2 linked regions of the Xenopus tropicalis genome follow. The protein of the gene in region 1 binds, or shares a complex with, the protein of each later gene. Links are inferred from orthologs where the notes say so. Each region holds a gene or a part of one and is shown in the gene's direction. Other genes may lie near its edges.

Region 1 (16,758 bases):
GTTTTTCATTTTTTATTATTTGTGGGTTTTGAGTTATTTAGCTTTATATTCAGCAGCTCATCAGTTTGGGATTTCAGCAGCTATTTGGTTGCTAGGGTCCAAATGACCTTAGCAACCAGGCAGTGATTTAAATGAGGGTCTGAATTACAGACAGGAGAGGGCTTTAACATAAAAATCAGTGATAAAAAGTAGCAATGACAGTAAACTTGTAGCCTTAGCGGGCATTTGTTTTTTTTTATGTTGGCGTCAGTGACCCCCATTTGACGATATCGCTGGAAATGGTCATTTTTCATTGATAGACAAATTGTACTTTTAAATGATCGTTTCATGATAAGCTTGGGGCCCATTTTGCCTATGGAGCTTTGTGCATTGATTGTCACTTTTGTATCTTCCCCTGCTCAAGTTGGGGAGCTGCAGCCCCAGGGGCCCCGCACCCCCCCCAAGGACCCCTGTTGTGGCCCCCACATACACCCCCGGGCCTCTACCTACCTCCCACCCAACCCTCTCCCCAAGAGCACATACTAAGGTGCGTCGGGAGAGGGGGACTTGCAGGCCCCGGAGCACCCAGCAGGGATCAGTTCTGGGCCAGAGGGACCCAAAAGCGCCGGGACCCACTGGGATTTTTCTGCCGGCCCCAGGGTCGGACTGGGCCGCTGGGACACCGGGAAAAATGCCCCAAAGCCCAGACCTTACCCTTGCCGGCGCTAACTCTGCCCAACCTCTCCTCCCCTGACGCGTTAAATTTACGAGCTTGGGCGAGGACGTTGGGTGGGGGGCCCTTCACCCCCCAGTCCTAACCTGGCCGGCCCAATTCAACCCTATCTATGGGAAAGACTAATATACAGAATATACCTTCATATGTTTTCCGGCAACCTTCCAATATACATTGATTACTTAGAATGTAACTGCGTTTATCCCTTTCTGTTCTCTGCATTGCTGGCTCTGACTACTGAACCAATGTAGCAGAACTCAGCTCTCCTCCAGGTATTTTTATTAGCGGCTTCGGCTACATTGTTTCAGTAGTCAGACCCAGCAATGCAGAGACCAGGCGGATAGATATCGCTTTCGATTGATCGTTTTGGGTGGAGTCCCCCTTTAAAATGATTATTTTTTTCTTATGTAACGCTGCCCAAGGATATGACACACGGACCCCAGCCCTTATTTGTTTGCATAGGGTGCATTGGGTGCATAGGGTGCATAGTTTTGGGCCCAGTAATGCTGGGGAGGCCCCCTTTGATGTGTGCACCCACGCCGCACTTTGTAGGTGACACGCAGCTATTGTGCCGGGGAGAGAGCACTAATAAGGGAAACATGAATGCTTATCTGGGCCTCACATCGGGAAGCGTCGGTGCCTGGCTAATGACTCAAATTTGAGGTTATAGACAGAGAATGCCAAAAATTCGGCAGGGCAGCTTTTTGAAGTGTGGAAATACATGTCTTCTTGTTGCACAGAATAATAATAACCCCGGCAGCAGCCGCTGATAAATAGGAGCATCTCTGTGTTTGTTTGTGTCCTGTACGCATTAAATGGAGACACCGTTCTGTGCTATGTGGCCCTTATTTTCCTTTAATTGCAATAGGCCGTTCCTCCTCGAACTCTCTCACTATGAATCTGCCCTGTGCTGACCCTATCTCCCTGCCCCGGATAAATAGGGTAATGGAAATTCCCCTGTTAAAACCAAAACTGCCCCCACTATTGGCCTAATAATGTGCATTAGAGTATTATCTGCCCTGGGTACCCCTGGAACTATAGCAGGGTGACTGTTACCCCAATGTTTCTATATATCTGTAACCTTGTTATGGGCTAAGGGGGCCCAGCCTGAAGGCCAGTTAGGGGGGGATTTGGGGTGAGTGCTTATTTGTGCCCTGGGTACCCCTGGAACTATAGCGGGGTGAGTGTTACCCCAATGTTTCTATATATCTGTAACCTTGTTATGGGCTAAGGGGGCCCAGCCTGAAGGCCAGTTAGGGGGGATTTGGGGTGAGTGCTTATTTGTGCCCTGGGTACCCCTGGAACTATAGCGGGGTGACTGTTACCCCAATGTTTCTATATATCTGTAACCTTGTTATGGGCTAAGGGGGCCCAGCCTGAAGGCCGGTTAGGGGGGATTTGGGGTGAGTGCTTATTTGTGCCCTGGGTACCCCTGGAACTATAGCAGGGTGACTGTTACCCCAATGTTTCCATATATCTGTAACCTTGTTATGGGCTAAGGGGGCCCAGCCTGAAGGCCAGTTAGGGGGGGATTTGGGGTGAGTGCTTATTTGTGCCCTGGGTACCCCTGGAACTATAGCAGGGTGACTGTTACCCCAATGTTTCTATATATCTGTAACCTTGTTATGGGCTAAGGGGGCCCAGCCTGAAGGCCAGTTAGGGGAGGATTTGGGGTGAGTGCTTATTTGTGCCCTGGGTACCCCTGGAACTATAGCAGGGTGACTGTTACCCCAATGTTTCTATATATCTGTAACCTTGTTATGGGCTAAGGGGGCCCAGCCTGAAGGCCAGTTAGGGGGGGATTTGGGGTGAGTGCTTATTTGTGCCCTGGGTACCCCTGGAACTATAGCAGGGTGGCTGTTACCCCAATGTTTCTACAAAAATGAAAACACCCAAATACATGAGACAGTTGAAGCTCTTGATTTCACTCTATGATTACCCCTCCCCTAATACAGTAATAGTACGTTGGAACTGAAAGATCAAACTGCATTTTTGTGCTTGTAATCTTGTGGAATTGTTTCTGGAATTGAGGGTTTCTGGCAACTAAAGAGTTAATGGCATTCCTTCACTAATGACTGGAACTTTTCATCACTCTGTACTTTCAAAGTATTAGTTATGGTCCAGGCATATTACTAATTCGACCACTAGGGGTCACACTGATGACATTCCAAGGCAGCTATAAATGAAGAGCCGCTGGGAAGGGAAGTATTCTGCCTAGAATATACTGACGGCTATATATATACTGTGTATTTATATATATATAAATATATATATACTATTTATTTATCATGACCTTCATTACATAAAAGCAGGCATGCTGGTTAAATTAACTGCATTATAACTGAACTCTATTGAATTTAATCTTATATATAAATATATTTCGAACCCTTTTTGCCACGGTGTATAGTTACATTGAATTGCTGGCCCACAGAGCTTACATTTTCCACCGGACATGTAATAAAACAGAGGCAGCACCTGAATCCTTGCTCTCATATATGAAAGTTTCTATATAATTCATTAATACAGGACCTTGTTGGGAACTACAATTCCCAGCATTCCCAGCCAGCAATCAGAGGTTCATTATTATGGGGCTAAGAGACATTTTCCCAGAGTTACTGGGTATCATGGGATAGGCTCCCACACCCAATACACAAATACTTGTTATGTTAAAAAGGGGTATTAACCATTTCAAGGTAGAGGTTTCTGCAGGGAAAACTGATACTAAAACAGCATTGATAAATGTAAAATAGTCATAGGCCCATTGTCATTAGTGCCCATGTGGGGGCTCATCTTTAAAGTCTCCATCACCCCCAACAGGTGACTGTTTCCCCCCAAAGGGGGCAATTTGAGACCCCCTGGCACAACAACTGATCTATCTATGAAGTCTCCCCCTGACCAATGCCCCCATACATGCACAGAGTGATCAATGCACCTGAGGAAGCAAGATGGCGGCCACAGTAATCACTTGGGCACTGAGTATTTATCACTGCAGCCAATCAAGATGCGAGGAGCTAATGACCAGCGGCCCATTATCACCATCTGATTGTGCCTGTGTCTGGGCTGAGGCCGTTAGAAGGGGGGGACACAGAAGCCCGACACCTTTTGTTCAGTGCAGCCACTAATTGATCTTGGCTAATATAATCAATATTTGATGATCCCGAATCCTTTTCTGCCCCAGACACCTTTTTTATTTGTTATGTGTCCGTACATTTACTTCATCTCTTGTTTTATTCTTCATATATATAGTGCTGCTCTATTCCTTTATAGAGATTATACACCATTCACACCAGTCTCTGCCCCAGTGCAGCTCCTATTATCACCATTTTATCATTCTGCTCCTATCTTGCCATGTCATCTTGTCATTTTGCCCTTCTACCACCATATTGCCCTATCAGTACCATCTTGCCCTGCTACCACCGTATTGCCCTATTGCTACCATCTTGTCGTACAGCTATTATCTTGTCCTACTGGCACCATATTGCCCTATCACTACTATCTTGCCATACTACCACCATATTGCCCTATCACTACCATCTTGCCCTACTACCACCATATTGCCCTATTACTACCATCTTGCCCTACTACCACCATATTGCCCTATCACTACTATCTTGCCATACTACCACCATATTTCCCTATCACTACCATCTTGCCCTACTACCACCATATTGCCCTATCACTACCATCTTGCCCTACTACCACCATATTGCCCTATCACTACCATCTTGCCCTACTACCACCATATTGCCCTATCACTACCATCTTGCCCTACTACCACCGTATTGCCCTATCACTACCATCTTGCCCTACTACCACCGTATTGCCCTATCACTACCATCTTGCCCTTCTACCACCATATTCCCCTATCACTACCATCTTGCCCTACTATCACCATATTGCCCTATCACTACCATCTTGTCCTACAGTTATCATCTTGCTCTACTGGCACCATATTGCCCTATTGCTGCCATCTTGCCCCACTACCACCATATTGCCCTATTGCTGCCATCTTGCCATACTACCACCATATTGCCCTATCACTACCATCTTGCCCTTCTACCACCATATTTCCCTATCACTACCATCTTGACCTTCTACCACCATATTTCCCTATCACTACCATCTTGCCCTACTACCACCATATTGCCCTATCACTACCATCTTGTCCTACAGTTATCATCTTGCTCTACTGGCACCATATTGCCCTATTGCTGCCATCTTGCCCCACTACCACAATATTGCCCTATGGCTACCATCTTGCCATACTACCACCATATTGCCCTATGGCTACCATCTTGCCATACTACCACCATATTGCCCTATGGCTACCATCTTGCCCTTCTACCACCATATTGCCCTATGGCTACCATCTTGCCCTTCTACCACCATATTGCCCTATGGCTACCATCTTGCCCTACTACCACCATATTGCCCTATCTCTACCATATATATTGCCTTCTTGTAGGTACCCTGCCCTCAACTCCTACTATACCCTATCTCCTCCTACTGACAACTGCAGCTCAGTGTGGCCCCCAGCAGCGCAACCTATTTGGGCCACCTAAAATGTCAAATTCAATAACCATGTACTGCCAAATATCTGCAGGGAGGGCCCCATGTATTCAGCACCCTACATGGCTACAGACCATTCCTTGGGCAACTTGTTATATACCAGTCCCTTTTGAATAAATCAGGTGAATCAAAGCAGTTTAAAAAGTTCATTTAATCCTAGGGGCCACATTTACCCCCAGTGCCTATAAGGGCCAGCAGTGTAACACAGGACAGGGGATCGATCCCAGTTACACACCCCAGTACCTGTAACCATATAAAATCACGATTACGCCGCTGATGCGATAATAGGATAAAATATGAAGGCTTTCCCTCATTTATCCTTATGGCTTGCGCAATCCCTTCTGCAGGAAGCCCTGTGTGATCTTGCAAAAGAAAAAAAAAAAGAATTAATTGATAATTACAATTATTGTGAAATCCCTGGCTGCCAGTCTGCCCTGTGATTTAAGCTTTGCCGGAGCGTCATAAATCCCAGGGCTTTGAAATCCCAATTCCTTGGCTTTTGTTGTTCTGAGCGGAGGGGCGTGTGCGCAAACAAACCCTGCGCTATAAATACCGCTGCGCCTCGGCGGCTTCTCCAGAACTGAGCACGGAGCGCAGCAGTCACAACCGGCGCTGCACCCAAGCCTTCAGCAGCACCCAAGCACCCTAGCCATCAGCAGCACCCAAGTCTTCAGCAGCACCCAAGGGACTTATCCCCGGAGGACTTATCCTGCCGTTATTGGTTACTGGGACAGAGGAATGGACGAGATGTTCCTGATGCTTCTTTTTGCCTTGGGGGGGTTTATCTTGGATGGGGCACTTGGCTTTGTCATGATGACCAACTCCAACTCCATCAAGAACGTCCCAGCGGCCCCGGCTGGGCAACCCATTGGCTACTACCCTGTCAGTGTCAGTCCGGACTCCTTATATGATATTGCCAACAAATACCAACCTTTGGATGCCTACCCGGTAAGTGGCCATAAAGCGTAAAGTCCGGCGTCAGATGCTTCTTGCCTCTTGGGTTGCAAGGATGGGGGTCCGAAACGTTGGGCTGGAAGGATGGGGGTCATTCTTATTCTTCTCATCAGGGAAATCAACTTTTATTCCTATGGGTATAGATACTGTAGGGCTCTGCATACAGTTTAGATGATGCGCCCGAAACGTTGTCAAATGCGTAATAGTTTGATACATTGTATAGCCTTTCCATTTCGCAATGTTTTTCAGAGCCTCTGGTTGTGTCTAACTGTCTTTACTATATTATCTATCTATATCTATCTATCTATCTATCTATCTATCTATCTATCTATCATCTATCTATCTATCTATCTATCTATCTATCTATCTATCATCTATCTATCTATCTATCTATCTATCTATCTATCCATATCTATCTATCTATCTATCTATCTATCTATCTATCTATCTATCTATCTATCTATCTATCTATCATCTATCTATCTATCTATCTATCTATCTATCTATCTATCTATCATCTATCCATATCTATCTATCTATCTATCATCTATCCATATCTATCTATCTATCTATCTATCTATCTATCTATCTATCTATCTATCTATCTATCTATCTATCTATCTATCTATCTATCTATCTATCTATCTATCTATCATCTATCTATCTATCTATCTATCATCTATCTATCATCTATCTATCATCTATCTATCTATCTCTGTCTATGAAAGAGTATAGTGTTACTGTTCCATCTCTACCTTGTTAAACAACTGTATTGAGCAGTGAGGGTGACAGTCGGAACTGACTGTTAGGAATATAGTTGACAGTTGGTGTTTAACCCTTACATGCTAGCTGGGGTGCAAGCCAGAAGGGGAAGGCTGCTCTAGTGATGCAAGGGCTGTCAGCTCAGCTGATTGGCTCATGTGTAGTGACAGAAAAGCATTCTGTGGTTTTTCCTACAGCATTCTGTCATCTCCTTCTATAATTTTGTGATTGCTCCTGATACTATTCTGTATAATCTTCTCCTTGTGTTTTTCATCTGTCATTGCCCATTATCATTCCATGTTTGCCTAAAATACTCTGTATTGGTTTGTGATTTCCATACTTTCATTCCCCTGTATCATTCTGTGATTGTTTCCCTTTATCATTCTGTCATTCCCCTGTTTTTTTTGGTCACACATTCTGTCATTTTCCTGTATTATTCTGTGATCTCCCCACAGTATACTGTTATTTTTTGAAAGCTTCATTTCCCCCACCTCTCATAGGGCTTTAGTTGCCCTTTATTGCCATATTTTGGATACACACCTGTGTTTGCACTGGAGCAATACATATCCTGATACCCCCCCACCCTAAAGTACCTGTTCCTCTTGTTTCCCCCCCAGCTCTACGGTTGCACAGAAGATGACGACTGTGCCCTGGATGAGTTCTGCCACAGTTCCAGAAATGGCAACTCCCTGGTCTGCTTGGCATGCCGGAAACGCCGCAAGCGCTGCCTGAGGGACGCAATGTGCTGCACCGGCAACTACTGTAGCAACGGTAAGGGGCTTTTGTTACCACTGTCATGGCCTTTGGGGTGGGGGGGGGGGGGGTAGGATGATGGTCTCAATACTTGATTCCGTGATATATTTCTTTCTATGGCACAAGTAATTTTATAGGTTCAAATCCCATCCCAAGGATTTATTTCTCCATTTACAGAACATTAAAATGTTATTCATTGGGACTAAGTAGACTCCGTTGTCCCATAATGACATTTTATAATTTATACTGTGATCCTGTGCCCAAGGGGAAGTTTTGCCTTAGTAGCTTTTTAATGATCACCTAGATGTTTATTGTTACTATAGTAACATAAACTAAAATAAACTTTTCAAAAATGCAAAAAAAAAAATAAGACCAACTGCAAATCTTTTCATGACCGTATGCGATTTGTACGGGTGACAGACACCTTTACTAGCAGTTAAAGGGTAACTAAATGATCCGGAGCAAAGCTCATCTGCCTAATTGTCTGCCACACTGACAACCCCCACATGTCATTAGTCTGTCTTGATGTACTTGCTGCTAAAGTACAAGGTGAAATTCCGACTTTAAGCCACTCCAGCAGCTGTCAAGTTCTGATCAAAGTCTTTTTTTTTTTTCCCTGAGCACAATTAGCCCACGTCATTACATAATGGCATTTGTTTATAAGCGACATGAAAAGAACCGCGAGGTGTACGCCGCCTCCATCTACCCTGACGTTGAAAGTAATGCCTCGCTAATTGACATCAAAAGCCCCCCCCCATTTCACGTCTACATGGCGTTGCCCCCTTAATTGATGACAATGTCAGGCAACATGAGGGTTTTCTCTTAAAACCAGTACAACCCAGAGGTTCCGATTAGCATTACAATCGGTAATGGCCCCCGGCCTGGGCAATTGTAGGTTAGCTTTGCCTGCCCTGCTGAGCATGTAGGTCGCCTATTGTTTGGGCGCTCTATGGGGCTCACTAGGGCATCACTAATTCCCACTGTCTCCTTGTCCTGCATCGTTTAAGGGGCTGCAGGTGATTGCATTATGTGAATAGGTATTGAAAGAGGTTCGGTGGCTCGGAGCGGGGGGCTTGCACTCATCTAAACTCATCTTTCCCCCCCCCTTTAGGAATATGTGTCCCCGTGGAGCAAGATCAAGAGCGCTTCCAGCAGCAGGGATACCTGGAGGAAACCATTCTGGAAAACTATAACGCCGATCACGCAACAATGGATACGCATTCAAAATTAACCACGTCCCCTTCGGGAATGCAGCCCTTTAAAGGTAAGCCTGTTGGCTGATACGCGGCTATAGAGTGCTGGGTCTGTAGAACGTGGTTATTATATGTGGGTTTAATGTCAGCAATGAGTATAGAAAGCATTTAGGGACCATGCAATAAATTCTGTGCGTAGGGTTGTCACTGGTATTATAAAGAAAAATGCACCCCTGTTATAAACCATTATAATGTTAGCACTTAGCCTTGTGCCTTTATATGGGCACAGAACCCCTCAGTGACTGCTAATATCCTTATCATTTATAGTATGGGGTACATTATCCCTTATAATACATGAGTGATACTCAGAGTTCCCTGTATAACTCAGCCTGCAGCCTTGTGCCTTTATATGGGGGGCACAGAACCCCTCAGGGACTGCTAATATCCTTATCATTTACAGTAGGGGGTACATTATCCCTTATAATACATGAGTGATACTCAGAGTTCCCTGTATAACTCAGCCTGCAGCCTTGTGCCTTTATATGGGCACAGAACCCCTCAGTGACTGCTAATATCCTTATCATTTACAGTAGGGGGTACATTATCCCTTATAATACATGAGTGATACTCAGAGTTCCCTGTATAATTCAGCCTTGTGCCTTGTGCCTTTATATGGGCACAGAACCCCTCAGTGACTGCTAATATCCTTATCATTTACAGTAGGGGGTACATTATCCCTTATAATACATGAGTGATACTCAGAGTTCCCTGTATAACTCAGCCTGCAGCCTTGTGCCTTTATATGGGCACAGAACCCCTCAGTGACTTCTAATATCCTTATCACTTATAGTAGGGGGTACATTATTCCCTATATTGGCTAGTATACAATATATCTTGGTATGGTGGCCCATTAATATCCATATAATCATGTCTAATATTTTTTTCTTTTCTGCCCAACAGGTCGTGATGGTGACGTCTGCCTCAGATCAACCGACTGCGCCCCAGGTCTATGCTGCGCCCGTCACTTCTGGTCGAAGATCTGCAAGCCGGTGCTTGAGGAAGGCCAAGTGTGCACCAAGCACAGGAGGAAAGGCTCCCACGGGCTGGAGATCTTCCAGCGTTGCCACTGCGGCGCCGGACTCTCCTGTCGGTTACAGAAGGGAGAGTTTACGACCGTCCCTAAGACCTCGAGACTTCACACTTGCCAGAGACACTAAGTGAGGCCTGCAGAGCCTGAAGGACCTTCTCTAAATTAAGCTAATAAGGACATTGGCCGCTAATAAGGACATTGGCCGCTAATAAGGACATTGGTCGCTCTGCCTTTGGGGGCGTATCAGTTTACATGAAGTGCTCTGGTCCCTCCCCCCCCCGAGCCCAGAGCTGCACAACTTGTTTCTTTTTTATAGGAACTTCTTATTAATTCCTAATTACAGTAAATTACTGTGTTGTAAATTGGTTAATAATGATGAACAGCTGTAAATATCTGTGTATAGAAAATGTACATGATCCTCTCTATTGTAACCGGCCGCCTTGTACATTCCGACTCGCTCTTCCCTGTTTATATATAAATATATCTATATAAATATTATGTAGATTTTAACGTCTAGTACGTCTGTATTTCTAATTGAAATAAAACATTTCCAAACCGATTTCTTTTTTGCACGTGGCAGTATTTGGACCTTGGGGATTTTACAATATAAGAACTTTATAGCTTAAATTTATTAGCGGTGGAAATATCTTATTTATTAAAGGGTAACTAAACCTCATGCTACACAAGAGGACCCCTGTGCAGCATGATTGGTGGCCACCATGCCGGTTGCATCACTTCCTTTCCCAGCCTCCATTGCTGGTTTCCAGTTTGCTTGTTCCTGGGCAGAGGTCCATAGCGGTCGGAGCTCCAGAGAAGCTTTGAAAGGATATGACGTCCAGACATGGTGACCCACGAGGCGACTCTGCATTTTAGGACCTTGTATGGGGGGGGGGGGCTACCTATCAGAGTTGACCCACGGGGCAACTCTACATTTTAGGACCTGGTATGGGGGAACTCCCTTTCAGCAGTCTGTTAGGGAAAGTAGCCAGAGAACTACCCTAATTGAAAATAGGGTTTACTTCCCCTTTAATGAAAATCTGCATTGGTTATTATATCTTTAACTAGGCCAACATTTATATTGCTAACTATATATGTGTGTTTTAGCTGGTTGCTAGGCAGATAGGAGTTATGTAACCTTTAGGGTGAAGACACACAGAGCTACTAGTAGCAGCTACTTGTCGTACTAAAATAGATAATGCTGATCATTTATTGATAATTGTCTCTACGTGTGTTTTAGCGGAGGCAATTGTCAGTATTGTCTATGGCAGGGAATTTCTGGCATTTAGTAGTCATGGAAAAGTAGCTGCTACTAGAAACTCAGTGTGTCTTTACCCTTAGGGCTCTGGCACACGGGGAGATTAGTCGCCCGCGACAAATCTCCCTGTTCGCGGGCGACTAATCTCCCCGAGTTGCTATCAGTTGTCATCCCACTGGCGAAAATGTAAGTCACCGGTGGGATGGCACACAATACGCAGGCGATTTCGGCAAATCGTCGAAGTTGCCTCGCGAGGCATTTTCGTCGATTTGCTGAAATCGCGCTGCCGTGTGTGCCATCCCACCGGTGACTTACATTTTCGCCAGTGGGATGACAACTGATAGCAACTCGGGGAGATTAGTCGCCCGCGAACAGGGTGCCATCTCCCCGTGTGCCAGAGCCCTAAAACACACGCACATATATATATGTTTGTGTGTGTTTTAGCTGGTTGCTAGGCAGATAGAAGTCATGTAACCTTTAGGGTGAAGACACACGGAGCTACTAGTAGCAGCTACTTGTCGTGGCTACTAAAATTGACAATGCTGATCATTTACTGATAATTGCCTGTGTGTTTTAGCAGAGGCAATTCTCAGTATTGTCTATGGCAGGGGAATTTCTGGAGTTTAGTAGTCATGGAAAAGTAGCTGCTACTAGTAGCTCAGTGTGTCTTCACCCTTAAATGAAACAACGAGGGCCAAATGCTAATATTTCATTGGAGGAGCAGAAAAGCGACAGGTTTTATCTATACTGATTCATACAGTGTCGCCAGTGAGGCTGTAATGACGGCAGTTATTGAACAGATAATCAGGCCCTTTGAAGCCTAATCTAACATAAGGGATAATACTAAAGTCAATCCATTATCTGCCTCCCAACTTAGATCTCATTAAAGGCTTAAACGAATGAAACGGCAGCCTAAGCCCCGGGCCGGAGCGGCCAAACTGAGCCACTGGTTTCCTACTCACTGCACATTGGGGTTTATAAAGAACTACACGGTGCAGGATCCTCTCACTGAATATGGGGGGTACAGCATCGCAGGTACTAGGGTGAAGACACACGGAGCTACTAGTAGCAGCTACTTGTCGTGGCTACTAAAACAGACAATGCTGATCGTTTACTGATAATTGTCTCTACGTGTGTTTTAGCAGAGGCAATTCTCAGTATTGTCTATGGCAGGGGATTTTCTGGAGTTAAGTAGCCGTGACAAGTAGCTGCTACTAGTAGCCCAGTGTGTCTTCACCCTTTAAGGGGCAGTAACACCAGGATATGAATATGAAAAAGCCCTGAAAAGGGGGCACTTTCCCCCCTCAGACTCCTCCCTGCAGTTTGGCCTGAACAACATAACACGTTCCTGCCCCCCCCCCCCCCAGCTTGCCCAGTACACCCCCATACAGGGTCGGACTGAGGGGTGAAGTGCCCACTGGGGCTCCCGCCCCAGGGGCCCTGCAGGAGCCCCCGCCCCCCCGCAGGGGCCCCCCTAACCCCCCGCGCAGGGCCCCCCACCCAATGTCCTCCCCCGAGCGCATAAATTTAACGCATCTGGGAGGAGCTGTCGGGCAGGGGGAGCGTCGGCAAAGGGTCCTGGATTTTTCCCGGTGTCCCGGCGACCCAGTCTGACCCTGCCCCCATACTCTTTTGCTCCATCTCCAATTGCACCCCCCCAACTTGTGTACGTGCTGCAGCCTGCACAGGTAACACTCTTGCCACTCTATTGGATGGCAGGAAGAACAAAGGAATACTGAATGCCATTCTGCTTATCGCTGCCTAAAGGGGAAATTCCACCCCAAAACAGCTTTGTATAATGAAAGAACGTGGAATTCTAATCATCTTTCCAATATACATTAATTGCAGCATTGGAAGCAGCATTTGTTTATCCCTCTCTGTGCAACGGATGGGGTTCAGCCGGCTGCTGCTACATTGGTTCAAGAGTCAGAACCAGTAGTGCAGAAAATATAAACAGCCGTACGTTACAATTTTTTTTGGCACACGTAATTTTGTGCGTTTCGCAAATTTTCCTATGTTTCGTGATTTTTTGAGCAGTTTCGTGAATTTTATGGCGAAATAGGACAGATTCACTCAGGTGAGGGATTAGTGGGCGCGTCAAAAAAGGCGCAGTCGCATCAAAGTAGGCGTGCTTGCGTCACAAATGTTGCACGTGTAAAAAAAAAATCACACGCATCAAAATTGTCACGTAGTCTCAATGAATTTTCCACCGTTTTGCAACTTTTTTGCCGTTGCGCGCATTTTTTTGTAGTTTCGTGAATTGTATGAAATTCACGAAACTCAAAAATGTTACTGTAAAATTGACAAAACTACAAAAAATGCACACAACGGCAAGAAATTTGCGAAACTACGTGACAATTTTGATGCTTGTGTTTTTTTTATGACGTGCGCAATTATTGTGCCACCAGCGCGCCTACTTTGCTGCGACTGCGGCTTTTTTGACGCCACTAATTTTCGTGCCGTTTTTACAGATGTTTTGTGAAACAATTCGCCAATGGCGAAATGAGAAATTTTGCCGCAAATCCATACCTGGCAAAACAATCTGCTCATCACTATTTAACTTTACCATTAGATTCTATATGGCTGGTATATTATAGGCCAAGGGGACCCGACAGTCCAAAGGGAAACTGTTGCCAAATAGTGATGAGCGAATCTGTCCCGTTTCGCTTCGCCGAAAAATTTGCGAATCTTTCAAAAGATTCGCGAAACGGCGAAAGTGTTGCACGTCAAAAAAAAAAATGTCGCCCAAAATTTGTTGCCCATGGCTATTTTTTTGTCGCAAGGCTATTCTTTTGTCGCCCGCGGCTATTCTTTTGTTGCCCGCGGCTATTCTTTTGTCACCCGCGGCTATTTTTTTGTCGCACGGCTATTCTTTTGTCACCCGCGGCTATTTTTTTGTCGCAAGGCTATTCTTTTGTCACCCGCGGCTATTTTTTTGTCGCAAGGCTATTCTTTTGTCACCTGTGGCTATTTTTTTGTCGCAAGGCTATTCTTTTGTCACCCGTGGCTATTTTATTGTCGCAAGGCTATTCTTTTGTCACCCATGGCTATTTTTTTGTCGCAAGGCTATTCTTTTGTCACCCATGGCTATTTTTTTGTCGCAAGGCTATTCTTTTGTCACCCGCGGCTATTTTTTTGTCGCACGGCTATTCTTTTGTCACCCGCGGCTATTTTTTTGTCACACGGCTATTCTTTTGTCACCCGCGGCTATTTTTTTGTCGCACGGCTATTCTTTTGTCACCCGCGGCTATTTTTTTGTCACACGGCTATTCTTTTGTCACCCGCGGCTATTTTTTTGTCGCACGGCTATTCTTTTGTTGCGGGCGACAAATTTTTTCATCCGCTTTGCGGAACAATCCGCCAATGGCGAAATGCGGAAATTTGTCTCGAGTCCATGCCTGGCAAAACATTTCGCCCATCACTATTGCCAAACTTTATCTCCCATCATGCCCAGCCAGCCAATGAGTGATAGAACATGAATGGCTGAAGGGCCCAGTCTGTCCCCGGGGGGAATTCTCCTTTCATGGCTTAGGAAGTGAAGACGTTCCCTTGGCTTTTGTTAGCGGCTGGCCATGCAAGACGCGACACTCTCCCTTTCTCCTCCTGTGTCTCGGGGCTTTTGTCCTCTCTAGCTTCCAGCCCGGGCCGTCTCATAGATTATCTGGGGCCGCCGTCCCAGGAAAAAAAAAAGATACACAATGGAAACAAAAAACCCTCATGTCCTGCACCCTCAATAAAGGAGATATTTCCGTTTGCAGCCGCCGTCATTTGATCTCTCGCTGAGAATTGGAACAAAAAGCAGCAAAGTGAGGTCTCTCTTTCCCTTTGGCAGTCAGAAAAGGGCCCCGAGCGCGGGTTGTGATTTCAATTGGACTCCGACATCCTGGAAAAGGAAATACTCGGGGGTCTTCCCTTTCAGGAGTCGCACAATGGCCATTGGCTTGAAAGAGACTGATCAAAAGGAATGATGTTTGCCAGGCTGTCACTTTATTGTGAGTGCGCATTAATATAGGGGATTAGACTGCTGAGCATCGCTATGGTGATAACCAGATGTATCAATATTGATACATAGCTCCGTCGGGAATAAAACCCTTTATAGCCCATTCCAGCCGATGATAGTAACTAATCCGCAACGGGACAATCTAAATAAGGGCTTCCCAAACTGAGGGTTGCCACCAGGGGGGCACAGGGGGGCACAGGGGAGACAGTTGTTCCAGGTCCGGGCACTCTTCACCTTTAATCTATTACAGGCCCTGTCATCCATAATCCAACCCGATTGGTCGCTCCCTGTGCGTATGTGTGACATCAGTACATACGGGGCGCAACCTTATAATAGGGCCCAAAGAAGCCACCAAAGCCAAAGAAGAAGGCAAAGAAGACCATCTTCGGGGGGCACTGTGTATGGCGGACACTGTCTATGGGGGGCACTGTGTATGGGGACAATTGGGAGCACTTGTCTTCTTGTCTCAGCCTTATGATTCCAGGACACTAAGTCTGAGGTGAGATGTCCACTACAACACCAGTACACCACCAGTAAAACGCCAGTACACCACTAATACAACACCAGTACACCACAAGTAAAACACCAGTACGCCGCTAGTACAACACCAGTATACCACCAGTACACCACCAATACAACACCAGTACACCGCCAGTACACCACCAGTACACTGCCAGTACACCACCACTACACCACCAGTACAACACCAGTACACCACCAGTATAACACCAGTACAAAATCTGTACACCACCAGTACAATGCCAGTACCCCACCACTACAAAACCTGTACACCACCAGTTTAACTCCAGTACACTACCACCACACCACCAGTACAATGCCAGTACAAAACCTGTACACCGCCAGTTCAACGCCAGTACACCGCCACTACACCACCGGTACAACACCAGTACCCCACCAGTACAAAACCTGTACACCACCAGTACAACACCACTACACCACCAGTACACTGCCACTACACCACCAGTACAACACCAGTACCCTGCCAGTAAAACACCAGTACACCACCAGTACAACACCAGTACCCTGCCAGTAAAACACCAGTACACCCCCAGTACAACACCAGTACACCACCAGTACACCACCAGTACAACACCAGTACACCATCAGTACAACGCCAGTACACTGCCACTACACCACCAGTACAACACCAGTACCCCACCAGTAAAACACCAGTACACCACCAGTACAACACCAGTACACCACCAATACACCACCAGTACACTGCCACTACACCACCAGTACAACACCAGTACCCTGCCAGTACAACGCCAGTACACCACCACTACACCACCAGTACAACACCAGTACCCCACCAGTAAAACACCAGTACACCACTAGTACAACACCAGTACACCACGACCAGTACAACACCAGTTCACCACTACTACACCACCAGTACACCACTAGTACACCATTACTACAACACCAGTACACCACCACCACACCACT
Region 2 (16,117 bases), on another chromosome or scaffold:
GGCAGTTGTAGTGGGGGCAGAACACTGGGAGAGGGTAGCGTATATCACTGCAAGCCTGGGGAGTGAGCCCCCTAATGTTTTAGGGATTTTAACTCTATAATTACTGCTTTATCGTTCTTCTCATTCAGCATTTAAATGTATATGTGAAATATTTGCCTGTTGTATGGCCATTTAGGCTTGCAATGTTCATAGGCATAACATGTGTTATGTCCCACACTCCCGAAGCGCAGAATCTGCTCCTGATAAAAATACACCCACAGAGAAACTGCTGCTCTGCTGCCGCCCTCCCTGCATGTTGTGGGCACAGCATCTGTCTGGGTTTTGGCCAGAAAATGCACAATTGTCTGCTTACTGACCCCAGGGATGTTGTGTTATTGTTCAGAGAATCTCGGGGGTTGAGAGAGATACCATGAAATGTTGCCAGCATAAGTATGTCCCAGAATAGGTACAATTCAGCAGGAACAGCCCCCTAAGTTTGCTCATAGCCTGTACAGAGAGATACCATAAAACTATGGCACATAGGGATTCCCCTGTACTAAGCACAATTCAGCAGGAACAGCCCCCTAAGTTTGCTCATAGCCTGTACAGAGAGATACCATAAAACTATGGCACATAGGGATTCCCCTGTACTAAGCACAATTCAGCAGGAACAGCCCCCTAAGTTTGCTCATAGCCTGTACAGAGAGATACCATAAAACTATGGCAGCATAGGGATTCCCCTGTACTAAGCACAATTCAGCAGGAACAGCCCCCTAAGTTTGCCCATAGCCTGTACAGAGAGATACCATAAAACTATGGCACATAGGGATTCCCCTGTACTAAACACAATTCAGCAGGAACAGCCCCCTAAGTTTGCTCATAGCCTGTACAGAGAGATACCATAAAACTATGGCACATAGGGATTCCCCTGTACTAAGCACAATTCAGCAGGAACAGCCCCCTAAGTTTGCTCATAGCCTGTACAGAGAGATACCATAAAACTATGGCACATAGGGATTCCCCTGTACTAAGCACAATTCAGCAGGAACAGCCCCCTAAGTTTGAATTAGCCCACTCTGGTATTACCCTGAGATGCTGATCTAGTTATACAGTTTGTAAGTAGTCTTTATTGCTTATCCTTCTATTTGGTCCTCTATGTAAAATAAGGTCCATTTGTGATGATAATATTGTGAATAGTATGTGAATTGTATGTGATATGTTCTGTTTCTTTCCTTGTAGGTTTATGTACTGGACTGAGTGGGGTGGAAAACCAAAGATTGACAGGACCGCCATGGATGGAAGTGGGCGCATCACTCTGGTGCCGGATGTCGGCCGGGCCAACGGGCTGACAATTGACTATGCGGAGAGGCGGCTTTACTGGACGGATCTGGATACTAATCTTATTGAATCTTCAAATATGCTGGGTGAGAAGCAATTCCCTCCCTGTTCTCCCCCCACGTGTCTTTGCCCTAATAACCCAGCTAATTATTATTGTTTATAGTCAGGCTTATGTTTGCATAGGACTGACTATAGGGGTGAAGCGGCTGCCCCCCCAGCTGTGCTGCTCATTCTGCAGCCCGTTGCACAGACCCGGCCGGCTGCGCCGGAGCCCGCCTGTACGTGGAGAGGTGCCAAGCTCCGCTCGCTGTGCGCACTTGATTTGCATTAAAAAGGATTTATCTGCAGGGGGAAATGTTTAACATCATGTTTTCAGTAACTGATCCGCTTTGTACAAAAGCCTCCTTTCTATCAGCATCTTCCCCGTGCCTTGCGCATCCCCTACGCCCTGACGCTTTATGGCATTTGCTCTTAAAGGGCCAGGCACGTTTGTTTTGGACAAAAAAAAAAGAAAGTTACAAGTGCTAATAGTGTTGATTATAAAAAACATTTAATTACTACTCACAAGCGTGATTTTAAAAAAAGCTTATTGGGCAAATAGCCTTTTTCCAATCTGCTGGATCCGGTTACATATACTTATCAGTGTTCATACAGCGATGTCGCCAAGCGAGTGGATCTTCTCCCAATATCCCCACCTACGGGTGGGTGATATTGGGCTATTTCGGTCATTTGTCCCTGGGGCCAAACCATCGAATTAGAACAGCTGGTATAGGCGTCCGTCGGTTCGGGGACCCCATCAACAAGTCCCCGACGAAAAATCCTTCCTTTTTAGTGGCAGAAGTTAACTCCAGTAATAACCAATAAAAATACAAGCCATACCTAATGAAGCAAATAAATAAATGCAACAAATCAAATATCACATAACACTATCTAGCCCGTATTTTATACCAGCTATTAACATACCTTATTCCTAATTCTAAAACACATGGGTTTCCATTCTATCATTTAACCCATTAGGTGTTGGTTTGTCCAAATAGAAAATCCAAAAATTGACACGATGCTCTCATTCTGTCTTATAACTATCTGTAATTCTTACCGTACCGCTTTAAAATTTATGGGAACGGATTATTTTTCTTCCCCTTTTTAATGGCTTTTATATGTTATTAAATAGTTAAGTAGCCAAAATATAGCCTGTTGCTGACTAGTACTAGTAGTAGTAGTAGTAGTAGTTCTGGGTCAGCCATATACCCCATAAATGGGTCAGTAGGCATTCTTAATTGCCCACCTTTTGTTTATCAATGCTCTGTCATTGTTGCCTATTCTGTTTGGCCTTAGAGAAGGCCAAACACCACTGATCCTATACTTAATAATTCTATAATTTTGTTAAATGATCATGCCACATGTATTCAGCTGAAATGTTGCCTTTAGTAATCATGCTCTTGTGCTCTTAGGGTTGGACCGGGTAGTGATTGCCGACGACTTGCCCCACCCCTTTGGGTTAACCCAGTACCAGGACTATATCTACTGGACAGACTGGAGCCAACGGAGTATTGAGAGAGCCAACAAGACCAGCGGGCAGAATCGGACCATGATCCAGAATGACCTGGACTACGTCATGGACATCCTAGTATTTCACTCTTCCCGGCAGGCCGGTTGGAACGAGTGTGCCTCCAGCAATGGTCACTGTTCTCATCTATGCTTGGCCACACCTGTCAGCGGCTATACCTGTGGGTGCCCGGTACACCACTCGTTGAATGCGGACAACAAAACCTGCAGTCGTAAGTCAAGCATATTCTGTGGCTGGCTTTGGGGGTGGTGGGGGGGTTATTGTGATGAAATGCTGGGCTGATACACGTCCCTGCCCTGCTGCATGACCCAAGATCTCCAAAATGCCATTAAGGAGACTGAGCAGTGTAGTAAAAGTATATAATATATATATATCTCTATATAGCCATATATATTGATAATATATAGATAATATCTCTCTAGTAGATGGAATATTTAAAATCATAATGTATTGTCGTGAAATACGCATCAATCTAAAGAAAACTAATGGGGTTTTGTGTGTTTCAGCTCCAAGTTCCTTCCTGCTCTTCAGTCAGAAAAATGCCATAAACCGCATGGTGATCGATGAGCAGCAGAGTCCCGACATCATCCTGCCCATTCACAACCTACGCAACGTCCGAGCCATCGACTACGACCCTTTGGAGAAGCAGCTCTACTGGATTGACTCGCGGCAGAATATACGCCGGGCTCAGGAAGATGGCAGCCAGGTACAATTAGCCTCAATTGGGCTTTATTTTATTTAATTGTTTAGCTTTTTGTCTGGTTGCTAGGGTCCAGTGGCCCCCCAAGATCATTTACCCAGCCCTGCTGCGTCCTCAACCATGGCTATTACCTGTCTGACCAGTCCTCAGCCCCAGGGTGTCGCGTCCAACGTAATTAGAGTTGGCCGGTGCGACTCCAGACAGGTAGTAGCCAGGGGTGAAGACACAGCGGGGCGCAGGGGCCGAGGGCTGGAGTTTGAGGACTGAATATAGTCTGGCCCCCCAACAGACTGAGTGACTATGGACTGGCCCCCGGTTTAAAAAGTTTGAGGACCCATGATCTAGAACATCATGAGTTTAAACACCTTATGAGTCACATGGCTTTCTCCCATCTGTATATTGTATATATGTATATATGTGTTGTAAAGAATGTTCGGCATTGTGTCTTCATATGATTAGCTTGTGTATCACAAGGGTTATGGATATGGGACATCAGCAGGTTTCAGTCTGCATCATAAGCTGCACAAATAACACTGATACTAACAACATCCTTTTATTCTTTACCTGTCCCTTTTCACAGAGCATGACCGTAGTGGCAAGCACCGTCCCCAACCAGAATATAGACATGCAGCCGTACGATTTGAGCATCGATGTCTACAGTCGCCTGATTTACTGGACCTGCGAAGCCACCAATGTCATCAACGTCACGCGGCTGGACGGGAGAGCCATCGGGGTGGTTCTAAAGGGAGAACAAGACCGTCCCAGAGCTATCCTTGTGAATCCAGAGAGAGGGTAGGAAATACAGAACTTTATCTACGCATAGTTTATTCTTTTTCCCTGATCTACAATCAGGTCTGTGGTGGTGGGTACCTACAGAACCACCCACAAGATGGTTTGTTTTGGGGCACAGCTGCACTCACCCGCAATTTTCTGTGGTGCAAAGTCTTCTAGATGTATGGCAACGCCCCAACAATGTATAGAACAAAGCAGAAATAGAGACTGCACTCAAGCAAAATTTCAGCTGAGGAGCTTACCCCATTGCCAATGTACCATAAAAATAATCAACGTTTCGGGGTGGGGGGGCGCTCCCTCCCTTCGTCAGCATAACCACAGTTTTTTAAAAAGTCAGATACAAAAAAGACCAATATAAATAAATAAATATAAATTTCTGCAGAAGTCCGTTCTTACAGTATAAATGTCAGTTGTTTGTGAAAAAGTTCAGCCATGGTCGGACTGGGCCACCGGGACACCGGTAAAAATCCCGGTGGGCCCCAGCGGCCCAGACCCAACCCTTGTGGCGCTCCCCCTGCACGACCGCTCCTGTCCCCACGTGTTAAATTTACGCGCTCGGGGAAGAACGTCAGGTGGGGGAACCTGCGAGGGGGGTTAGGGGGGCCCCTCCAGGGGGGGGGAGGCTATGGGCGTTGGCCATATGGGCAGGCTATGGGCACGGGCCCCGGTGGGCCCTTCACCCCCCAGTCCGACCCTGAGTTCAGCACCCTGAGTTCAAAAACAAAAAATGACCAATATAAATTTGTCTGTTTTGGGGCAGATCTGCCTTGATTTCCTGACTGTGTGGGTAGTTTCTTTGCTTATGGAGTTGGGATATGGTGTATAATTTGAAAAAATTAAATATTGTGAACCATTTACACTTCCAGGTTAATGGGCCGGTAGGGGTTCTGAACCAGCTTTGCATTGAAACTCCCATTTGCTTTGATCTTCTAGGTACATGTATTTCACCAACCTCCAGGAGCGATCGCCAAAAATCGAAAGAGCTGCTCTTGATGGGACAGAGCGAGAGGTGCTGTTTTTCACCGGCCTGAGCAAACCAGTGGCGCTTGCGCTCGACAACAAAATGGGGAAACTTTTCTGGGCCGACTCTGACTTGAGGAGGATCGAAAGCAGTGACCTATCCGGTAAAGTGCGAGAATAGCGAATTTATAGGACTAAAACTGAAAATGACAGTTATGAGTTCTAGTATGGTTCCGTTCTGTGGTCTAGTACCAACTTAATGGGAAAGTAAGAATGCTGTGTGATTTTAATCACATGCTTTCCGTTTGGATAGAGTGATTCCTACTTCATTCATTGTTCCAAGTGCATTTATTACATATTTTTTTTGCATACCTAGTTTTGATCGTTACAGTAAAATGGCCTTTAATTATGTTATTGGTCAACGCTTACACTGCTCTCTGGTACTTTCCAGGTGGCCATCGCATAGTTCTAGAAGATTCTAACGTGCTGCAGCCAGTCGGACTCACTGTTTTTGGCAATCACCTGTATTGGATTGACCGGCAACAACAAATGATTGAGCGCATTGAGAAAACCGGACGCGTGGGTCGCACCAAGATCCAAGCTCGTATCCCTCTGCTGACTGATATCCATGCTGTGACAGAACTGAGCATGGACGAATACAGTTAGTATCCACTTATTAATACTAATTTCCTTTTCTGTAGATACGTTTTGGAGTTGCTAAGCAACAACCACTTCAAATATTAGAATTATTTAGTAAAATTACAAATCTTGGGGTATTAAGCTTTGAAATTTGGAATCATGGCCTTGTTTTCTCATTGTTCTTTTCCCTTTTCTGTTTTAACAGAGGAACACCCTTGTTCCCAGGATAACGGGGGCTGCTCCCACATCTGCATAGTGAAAGGAGATGGAACCACCCGCTGTTCTTGCCCGATGCACCTTGTCCTTCTGCAGGAAGATGAGTTGTCCTGTGGGGGTGAGTGCTGTGTAGATTTATTTTGTATTACTGCTAATCATATATATATAGAATCTCAGCCATAAAGCAGGGCAGGACTGCTGCTTACAATGGGGGGATCAGATAGGATCTGTGCCACTGTGACAGAATGTTCTGTTATACAGATAGCTAGAATCTCAGCCATAAAGCAGGGCAGGACTGCTGCTTACAATGGGGGGATCAGATAGGATCTGTGCCACTGTGACAGAATGCTCTGTTATACAGATAGCTAGAATCTCAGCCATAAAGCAGGGCAGGACTGCTGCTTACAATGGGGGGATCAGATAGGATCTGTGCCACTGTGACAGAATGCTCTGTTATACAGATAGCTAGAATCTCAGCCATAAAGCAGGGCAGGACTGCTGCTTACAATGGGGGGATCAGATAGGGTCTGTGCCACTGTGACAGAATGCTCTGTTATACAGATAGCTAGAATCTCAGCCATAAAGCAGGGCAGGACTGCTGCTTACAATGGGGGGGATCAGATAGGATCTGTGCCACTGTGACAGAATGCTCTGTTATACAGATAGCTAGAATCTCAGCCATAAAGCAGGGCAGGACTGCTGCTTACAATGGGGGGGGGATCAGATAGGATCTGTGCCACTGTGACAGAATGCTCTGTTATACAGATAGCTAGAATCTCAGCCATAAAGCAGGGCAGGACTGCTGCTTACAATGGGGGGGATCAGATAGGATCTGTGCCACTGTGACAGAATGCTCTGTTATACAGATAGCTAGAATCTCAGCCATAAAGCAGGGCAGGACTGCTGCTTACAATGGGGGGGGATCAGATAGGATCTGTGCCACTGTGACAGAATGCTCTGTTATACAGATAGCTAGAATCTCAGCCATAAAGCAGGGCAGGACTGCTGCTTACAATGGGGGGATCAGATAGGATCTGTGCCACTGTGACAGAATGCTCTGTTATACAGATAGCTAGAATCTCAGCCATAAAGCAGGGCAGGACTGCTGCTTACAATGGGGGGATCAGATAGGATCTGTGCCACTGTGACAGAATGCTCTGTTATACAGATAGCTAGAATCTCAGCCATAAAGCAGGGCAGGACTGCTGCTTACAATGGGGGGGGATCAGATAGGATCTGTGCCACTGTGACAGAATGCTTTGTTATACAGATAGCTAGAATCTCAGCCATAAAGCAGGGCAGGACTGCTGCTTACAATGGGGGAATCAGATAGGATCTGTGCCACTGTGACAGAATGCTCTGTTATACAGATAGCTAGAATGTCAGCCATAAAGCAGGGCAGGACTGCTGCTTACAATGGGGGGATCAGATAGGATCTGTGCCACTGTGACAGAATGCTCTGTTATACAGATAGCTAGAATCTCAGCCATAAAGCAGGGCAGGACTGCTGCTTACAATGGGGGGATCAGATAGGATCTGTGCCACTGTGACAGAATGCTCTGTTATACAGATAGCTAGAATCTCAGCCATAAAGCAGGGCAGGACTGCTGCTTACAATGAGGACCCTCAAAGCTATACAACCCCATGATACTGTGTTCTTTTCTGATTCCACTGCCAGAGGCTTCTGTTGTAACCGGCCGGCTCTTCGCCCTGGGTCACATTTGCTCTATTTTGCTTGTAGGTTACTAGAGGTCAGAGCACTCAATGAAAGTCATTGTTTGTGTAACAGAATATTAGTGCCTGTGCTAGGCCATTAAGGGATTAGATTCTGTCTGTTATAGTATTCAGGCCATACGGTAACTGCAAAAACACACCCTGTTTGTTTTTATATAAGGTTTGTCTTCTGGTTTCTTTCATTGATACAAAATTGGGTACAGGGTATTGCTACTATACGCAGAATTACCCAGAGAAAGCATGTGTGTGCATTTCCGCTTTCTGACACTGCCATCTAGTGGTTACAATTGGGACATCCAATCCTGTGGCTATATTTTGATTTTTTTTATGTGTCTATTCTTTGCGTATATCTAGATGTACCCTAAAATGTTATTAAGTGGGTATAACATAATTTCCTTTATTTTCCCCACAGAGCCTCCTACCTGCTCTCCCCTGCAGTTCACCTGTTTCACCGGCGAGGTTGATTGCATCCCGGCGGAATGGCGCTGCGACGGCTTTACAGAATGCGAGGATCACAGCGACGAGCAGAACTGCCCCATGTGCTCGGACACGCAGTACCAGTGCGCCAGCGGCCAGTGCATTGACTCCTCTCTGCGCTGTAACGGAGAAGCCAACTGTCAGGACAAGTCTGATGAGAAAAACTGCAATGGTACGGGCTTGCTTCTGAAAATGGTTTTATTCAGACATTCATTTGTTGGTGTTTGAATCCCCCCCCTTATATGCATTGAAGAGTTTGTGAAAGCACTCTTAAAAGAGGCCTGTTGGGAAAAGAAAGTGGGGTTCATTTATTAACACTGGGCAAATTTGCCCATGGGCATTAGCTCATGGCAACCAATGAAATTGTTGCATTCATTGTTGTATATGCAGCTGGCTGAAAAAAGCCAGTCACTGATTGGTCGCTATGGGTTACTACCCACGGGCAAATTTGCCCAGTGTTGATAAATGAGCCCCAGTGTCTTTTAGGGTGAAGACGCACGGAGCTACTAGTAGCATCTACTTGTCGTGGCTACTAAAATAGACAATGCTGATCATTTACTGATAATTGTCTGTACTTGTGTTTTAGCAGAGGCAATTCTCAGTATTGTCTATGGCAGGGGATTTTCTGGCTTTTAGTAGCCATGGCAAGTAGCTGCTACTAAGTAGCTCTGTGTGTCTTTACCCCTAAGGTACCAGTGATGTGAAATGAATAAGCTAAGTTGACACACTGAACCAGTCAATTATGAAGGCTGCTAATAATGAAGATGCTTTTTCTGGTCTTTCTGCAGAAGTCTGTGCTCCAGACCAGTTCCACTGTGGCAGCGGACAGTGCATCGGGAAGCACAGGCGTTGTGACCTCAGCCCGGACTGCAGTGACAGCTCAGACGAGCAAGCTTGCTGTAAGTGCTGCTATTATAACTGCTGGCCTAAGTTTCAGTAATAAAGTTGTCAGCAAAAAGTCATATAGTGTGTGTGTTCTGTTACAAACCTGGCATGTCACATTCGGGGTCCTGCAGAGATTTGGGACTTGTATTTAAGGGTGAAGAGACACGGAGCTAATGTAGCAGCTACTTGTCGTGGCTACTAAAACAGACAATGCTGATCATTTACTGATAATTGTCTCTACGTGTGTTTTAGCAGAGGCAATTCTCAGTATTGTCTATGGCAGGGTATTTTCTGGGGTTTAGTAGCCGTGACAAGTAGCTGCTACTAAGTAGCTGTGTGTCTTTACCCTAAAAGTTGCATGGGAGTCTCAAGCTTGCCATTGCACTTTAGCACCCCTGAAGGGTGAAGACACCCAGTAGCCCTAGTAGCAGCTACTTGTCGTGGCTACTAAAATAGACAATGCTGATCATTTACTGATAACTGTCTCTACATGTGTTTTAGCAGAGGCAATCCTCTGTATTGTCTATGGCAGGGGATTTTCTGGTGCTTAGTAGGTGTGAAAAAGTAGCTGCTTCTAGTAGCTCTGTGTGTCTTCACCCTTTAGATGTTGATGTGCAACTATCAGCATCAGCCAAATATTGCCATGATATTCTGGGAGTTGTATTTGAACCTTTGCCTTGATGCAAGCTGTGCATACCTCTCCTAATCTGCAAGGCTAAAGGCTCTCTCCAGGCCTACTCTTCAACTCTCCACACAATTTATTTTACATTTTCCAGATCCCACAGAGGAACCACCTCCTCCATCGACCAACACCATCGGCTCCATCATCGGCGTGATCCTCACCGTATTCGTAGTAGGGGGAGTGTATTTTATCTGTCAGCGAGTGCTGTGTCGTCGCATGAAAGGAGACGGGGAGACCATGGCCAACGATTATGTGGTGCATGGACCCGCCTCCGTCCCCTTAGCATACGTGCCACATCCGAGCTCCCTGACTGGATCCTTGCCTGGTGAGTACAGAGCCGGTGACTCCAGCACCAAAATGCCTGCTGTTTATTTTCCAAGATGGTACTCTTTCCATTTAGATACAATAAATATAATGCTGAATGCTCTTGTACAGGTATAGGACCTGTTATCCAGAATGCTCGAGACCAAGGGTATTCCGGATAAGGGGTCTTTCCGTAATTTGTATCTTCATACCTTAAGACTACTAAAAAAATCAATAAAACATAAATTAAACACAATAGGATTGTTCTGCCCCCAATAAGGGGTAATTATATCTTAGTTGGGATCAAGTACAGGTACTGTTTTATTATTACAGAGAAAAGGGAATCATTTAACCATTAAATAAACCCAATAGGGCTGTTCTGCCCCAATAAGGGGTAATTATATCTTAGTTGGGATCAAGTACAGGTACTGTTTTATTATTACAGAGAAAAGGGAATCATTTAACCATTAAATAAACCCAATAGGACTGTTCTGCCCCAATAAGGGGTAATTATATCTTAGTTGGGATCAAGTACAGGTACTGTTTTATTATTACAGAGAAAAGGGAATCATTTAACCATTAAATAAACCCAATAGGGCTGTTCTGCCCCAATAAGGGGTAATTATATCTTAGTTGGGATCAAGTACAGGTACTGTTTTATTATTACAGAGAAAAGGGAATCATTTAACCATTAAATAAACCCAATAGGGCTGTTCTGCCCCAATAAGGGGTAATTATATCTTAGTTGGGATCAAGTACAGGTACTGTTTTATTATTACAGAGAAAAAGGAAATCCGTTTCAAATTTCTAAATTATTATGATTAAAATGGAGTCTATGGGAGACCGGATTTCCATAATTTGGAGCTTTCTGGATAACAGGTTAAGGGATCCCATGCCTGTATTGACTGCCAGTCCATGCAGGAACCTGCTTGTAATGGATCATTTCCTCCACTCGCAGGTTTTTTTGTTATGAGGCCTTTCATGTGGTTTTGTGCATTCTCCAGCTCACATACAAAGTTAAACAGAAATAAATCTAGGGGTGGGGATAAAAAAAAAAAAGATCCCCTGCAGCTTGGCTCCTTGCGATGATTCCTTCTCGCCCCTTTGTTGTGGGGTTTTTATCCTCCCGCTGCCTTTAATGCGAGGATGCAGCAAAGTTTCCAGTTCTTCTATTAAACAGCGAGAGCATCTTGTTGCATTGTGTGCGCAGCAGTGTCATGTAACAGCTGCGGGCCATTGTGGGAAGAGATCACAGAGCTGTACTTTCCATGGGCCATTCATTAGTAGAAAGCCATTAAACTCTGTTGAAACCAGCTTAAGTAACAGGGATCCAACCGCTGCGCCAGATGAGGGTGAAATACAAAGGGGTGTTGCAGTTTAACAATGCAGTGATGAATCATTTCTAAGGTCTGCTGATGCAGAAAGCACTTATCTAAGCACTCTCTTGCTTAACACAGGGATGTCTCGTGGGAAATCTGTTATCAGCTCTCTCAGCATTATGGCTGGAAGCAGCGGGCCACCGTATGACCGGGCTCATGTGACCGGAGCCTCATCCAGCAGCTCCTCCAGCACTAAAGGAACCTATTTCCCACCGGTAGGTATCCAGCTGCCGTGTTTCCTACCCCATACGGTGTTTATACATAAACAGAAGATGTTCCATAAACCTGAATATTCTTTTCCTTTGGTTATAGATCTTGAACCCACCTCCCTCCCCAGCCACGGAGCGTTCCCATTACACAATGGAATTTGGTTACTCCTCAAACAGTCCTTCCACCCACAGATCATACAGGTGAGTGCATTTTTTACTCCAGTCCCCCCCCCACAGTATCTAGAAGGCCCTGCTGTAGGCTGCTACTAGAGAGGGACTTTTTTTCTACAACTGGCTGCTTCTTTGTTGCTGGGGCAGTCTCAGCTCAGCTTGGGGCTATTCATATATATATCTAAGTCCCTGTGTGTTTCGAGCACTAACAGTGCTCTTCTTCAGGGAAAAAACAGTTTTTCCCTGAAGAAGAGCGCCGTTAGTGCTTGAAACGTCGGATCTTTTTCAATAAATACTTTTTTTTTTTTTTTTTTTTTTTTTGCAAAGTCCCAGTGTGTGCGGCCCTCTGCTTTTGCCAGCACCCAGGGATTTGGATTCTCTGGATGGTGTGCTCCGTTTGTTCCTGTGTATATATACACAAACGATCGAGTTGTAACGACCGTGGGAGTGAATCCAAAACATGTGTATTGGAGACACACTGTGCACTACCCCATGTGTATTGGAGACACACTGTGCACTACCCCATGTGTATTGGAGACACACTGTGCACTACCCCATGTGTATTGGACACACACTGTGCACTCCCCCATGTGTATTGGAGACACACTGTGCACTACCCCATGTGTATTGGAGACACACTGTGCACTACCCCATGTGTATTGGACACACACTGTGCACTCCCCCATGTGTATTGGAGACACACTGTGCACTCCCCCATGTGTATTGGAGACACACTGTGCACTACCCCATGTGTATTGGACACACACTGTGCACTACCCCATGTGTATTGGAGACACACTGTGCACTCCCCCATGTGTATTGGAGACACACTGTGCACTCCCCCATGTGTATTGGACACACACTGTGCACTACCCCATGTGTATTGGAGACACACTGTGCACTACCCCATGTGTATTGGACACACACTGTGCACTACCCCACATCACATAAGGTCCCCATACACCTTAAGACGCCAAGCGAGCGGATCTTCTCCCGATATACCCCACCTACGGGTGGGCGATATCGGGAGAATCCGGGCTAATTTGATTGTTTGGCACTGGGGCCAAACAATCAAATTATAACGACGGGTATAGGCAAAGTCGGTTCAGGGACTGCATCAGCGAGCCGATGCGGTCCTCGATCCGACTAAAGTTTTAAACCTGCCCGATTTCAGGCCAGATATCAGTCAGACAGGCCCGTCGTTAGTGCCCCTACACGGGGCGATAAACTGCCGAATCGGTCTAAGGGACCCATATCGGCAGCTAGAATCGGCCTGTGTATGGGGACCTTAACATGTCAAAATCATTATATTCCTGGGGATAAAAAGCAGTCTGCTATATTTCCTAATGTTTCTCTTTCTTCCTCAGCTACAGACCCTACAGCTACCGGCATTTTGCCCCTCCTACAACTCCCTGCAGCACCGACGTGTGCGACAGCGACTACACCCCCAGCCACCGGATCACCTCCGCCGCGGCGAAGGGCTACACCAGCGATCTCAACTACGACTCGGAACCGGTGCCTCCGCCTCCAACCCCCCGCAGCCAGTACCTTTCAGCCGAGGAGAACTACGAAAGCTGCCCGCCCTCTCCCTACACGGAACGAAGCTACTCTCACCACCTTTACCCCCCTCCTCCGTCACCTTGTACAGACTCTTCCTGAGACCCCCCCACTCTGTAAATACTGTATGAAGAGAGAGTACTTTCCCAATCTAACCCCCCGGCCCCCGTTGTGTATAGTTTCCAGAACCATGAACCCCTCCAGAGGAGGGCAGAAGGGTCTCCGACAATGGACGTTTGTACAGAGACGATAAAAAAAAAAACAACAAATATTTATATTTTCTTAACCCTTTTTACACCTCTTCATACTTGTGCCATAAATGTAACGCTTATATTTCCATCCTTCCCCGGAAAGGGCAATCCCCTTGCCTTTTTGTGTGGAAGAAATCCCATGACCACTGAAACAGTAATTTGTACAAATATATATATATATATATATATCTCTATATAAATATCTATTTTTGCAAATGGAATACACAAAATGCCTTAAATAGACGGATAGGATAGGAAGAGGTCTTTAATACCAAAAAAAAAAAAAAATGCACGTGAGCACAGACCAGCGGATTTTAGAGAATGGTTCTTAATTGTTTTTATTTTTTTTTTAACCCTTTCTTTCCTCCATTCGACTGGTGCCAAGCTTAGGCGCAGAGCAAGCCTGCCCCCTCTTGGCGGTTATGGGGATAACATGGAATCTCTGCTACATGAAAGCCCAGTAGCTTCACTGGTCCCTTATCCCACCATATTAAATTACATTTTACTCCAGCTGCCCCTTAAAAGCCTGTATGCCTGCCCTGTATCCAGGTATCAATATACCTGGATACAGGGCAGACATACAGGCTTGTACTGTGGCTATATGGGAGTGCATCAAGCTGACTTGGGCTTGTATAATTGATTGAGTGGCAACAATAATTGTTTAATTTGTGTATTTTATTTTATGATTTTATCTTTGACTTGAGGGCCAAAGAAGGTTGCTAGAAAGATTTTTTAGCAGCCAGCCGTTTGATTCTTCCCCCCCCGACCACGTAACCACTACAGTGTAGCCGTACCACTACCACAAAGCGCTACCGATACCACTAAACCGCCCCAAGGGGGCGCTACTGGGAAGACAATAGAGGTGATCGTGTCTTCATTATCAGTTCATCACCAAAGTAGTTTTTTTTTATTTTATTTAACCTTCCTACTGCTAGATGCGGGCTAGCGGCCTCTGGCAGCAGAAGGGTTAAGTCTGTTTTTATCTTTGTTTTATACTGTATTGTATTTATAAAACGTAATTGTAACTTGTGGGGTATTTTTTTTTTTTTTTTTTTAACTTCCATTTTTGTTTATGGAGAATATATCCTTGCAGTACTTTGACGTAATTAACTACCACTATACAGGGTTCATGCACTTTCTGTGCTGTTTTCTAGTAGCAGGGGCACTTGTTGTGCGACTGCAGCTCCCTGCGTGCCGTCGAAGGTCTGCCCTGGGGGGGCGGCGGGGTGCTTGAAGTTGCCCCTGGGCTTCATACCATTCCTTAAAGACACATAATGGCTCAGAAAGAAGTAAGCATGTGTCCTCTTTAATTTAAAGTGATAGCGACACCATTTATTAGCAATGTATCCTCTCACTAGTGTCTTAGTACTTGGGTTCTAGCCTGGGGGGGTCGGCATTTAGCCCACCCCCCCAAGCACGACTTCATGTAGTGAGACATAGGGGGGTAGCCGACGCAGGTCCATAAAGGGGTGCAACTGGATGGTTTATTAAAGGGATAGTGGCCCATTTCTACTGTGGAAACGGCTCATAATCCCTTTAAAGGTGAGAACTGTATTAGTTTAGTACAAGGACTGTTCATAGGGGCCATTTTAGTTCCATAGGCAGTTTAAACACCAATCATTCAGCTATTGGACAGAGGGGTTTTTATGTTGATGTGCCCCTTTAATTGGATAGTTTTTTAATTTTATAAAATGTCCCGGTCTAAGCAACTTTTCAGTTCTTCATTTTTTTAAATGGATTGCATTCCTTATTCCAGGTTTCAAATGGGGGGGTCACTGGCCCCCGGCAGCCAAAAAGCTATTTCTCCGAGAGGCCCCACAGTCTTATCGTTATTATTTTTCATTCCTTATGTTCTCTCCTATTCACTGCCTGGTTGCTAAGGGTAAACAACACCCTAGCAACCAGAGAGCTGCTTGAACCTAAAGTGAAATAATTGCACATTATCGCAGTCTACGTCATACGAGGGGTTAATTTTAAGGTGAACTAACCACATTGCTTAGAATTTGACTTTCACGGTTGTTTTAAACGGAACCATTTCCCACATGCCCCCTTGATTGAGGAGGAGCCATGGGGTGGGAGGAGCTAAATGCTTCTATAGGGATGCTCGGTGCAACCTTCCGACTGGCGGGGCAGTGTGTAAATGAAATGTGTTTTTTATTGTTCTTTAATGGTAGGTACCCCCCCCACAGCTGCAATGTGGTACATTCCGCCCCTCGCTGGTGCATTCAACTCTGTACCTTTAAGAGCAGGGCAGATTTCAGTCCCTTGAGTTTAATTG

Evidence for each region.
Region 2: the proteins of dkk1 (region 1) and lrp6 are in contact, whole or in part, in a crystal structure (PDB 3S8V), measured with the Homo sapiens proteins. The link is inferred for Xenopus tropicalis from reciprocal best matches to the Homo sapiens genes DKK1 and LRP6. Residues at the interface, in NP_036374.1 of Homo sapiens: Glu185, His204, Phe205, Trp206, Ile209, Gln218, Val219, Thr221, Arg224, Arg225, Ser228, Gly230, Leu231, Glu232, Ile233, Phe234, Arg236, Ser258, Leu260; in NP_001401174.1 of Homo sapiens: Arg639, Glu663, Ser665, Ile681, Tyr706, Glu708, Thr724, Arg751, Trp767, Gly768, Gly769, Pro771, Val790, Gly791, Arg792, Asp811, Thr812, Asn813, Leu814, Pro833, His834, Phe836, Trp850, Ser851, Tyr875, Met877, Arg1184.

Annotation. Positions count from the first base shown.
Region 1 is NC_030683.2:13,840,245-13,857,002, forward strand, and holds dkk1 (dickkopf-related protein 1 precursor), read left to right. Parts: upstream 1-5,873; 5' UTR 5,874-6,019; coding exon 6,020-6,229; intron 6,230-7,614; coding exon 7,615-7,768; intron 7,769-8,861; coding exon 8,862-9,014; intron 9,015-9,903; coding exon 9,904-10,160; 3' UTR 10,161-10,592; downstream 10,593-16,758. UniProt on the Homo sapiens protein: Antagonizes canonical Wnt signaling by inhibiting LRP5/6 interaction with Wnt and by forming a ternary complex with the transmembrane protein KREMEN that promotes internalization of LRP5/6.
Region 2 is NC_030679.2:8,210,901-8,227,017, reverse strand, and holds part of lrp6 (low-density lipoprotein receptor-related protein 6), read left to right. Parts: intron 1-1,218; coding exon 1,219-1,403; intron 1,404-2,768; coding exon 2,769-3,095; intron 3,096-3,390; coding exon 3,391-3,590; intron 3,591-4,164; coding exon 4,165-4,376; intron 4,377-5,309; coding exon 5,310-5,500; intron 5,501-5,787; coding exon 5,788-5,997; intron 5,998-6,180; coding exon 6,181-6,309; intron 6,310-8,337; coding exon 8,338-8,574; intron 8,575-9,190; coding exon 9,191-9,301; intron 9,302-10,063; coding exon 10,064-10,294; intron 10,295-11,729; coding exon 11,730-11,866; intron 11,867-11,963; coding exon 11,964-12,061; intron 12,062-13,398; coding exon 13,399-13,690; 3' UTR 13,691-16,117. UniProt on the Homo sapiens protein: Component of the Wnt-Fzd-LRP5-LRP6 complex that triggers beta-catenin signaling through inducing aggregation of receptor-ligand complexes into ribosome-sized signalosomes.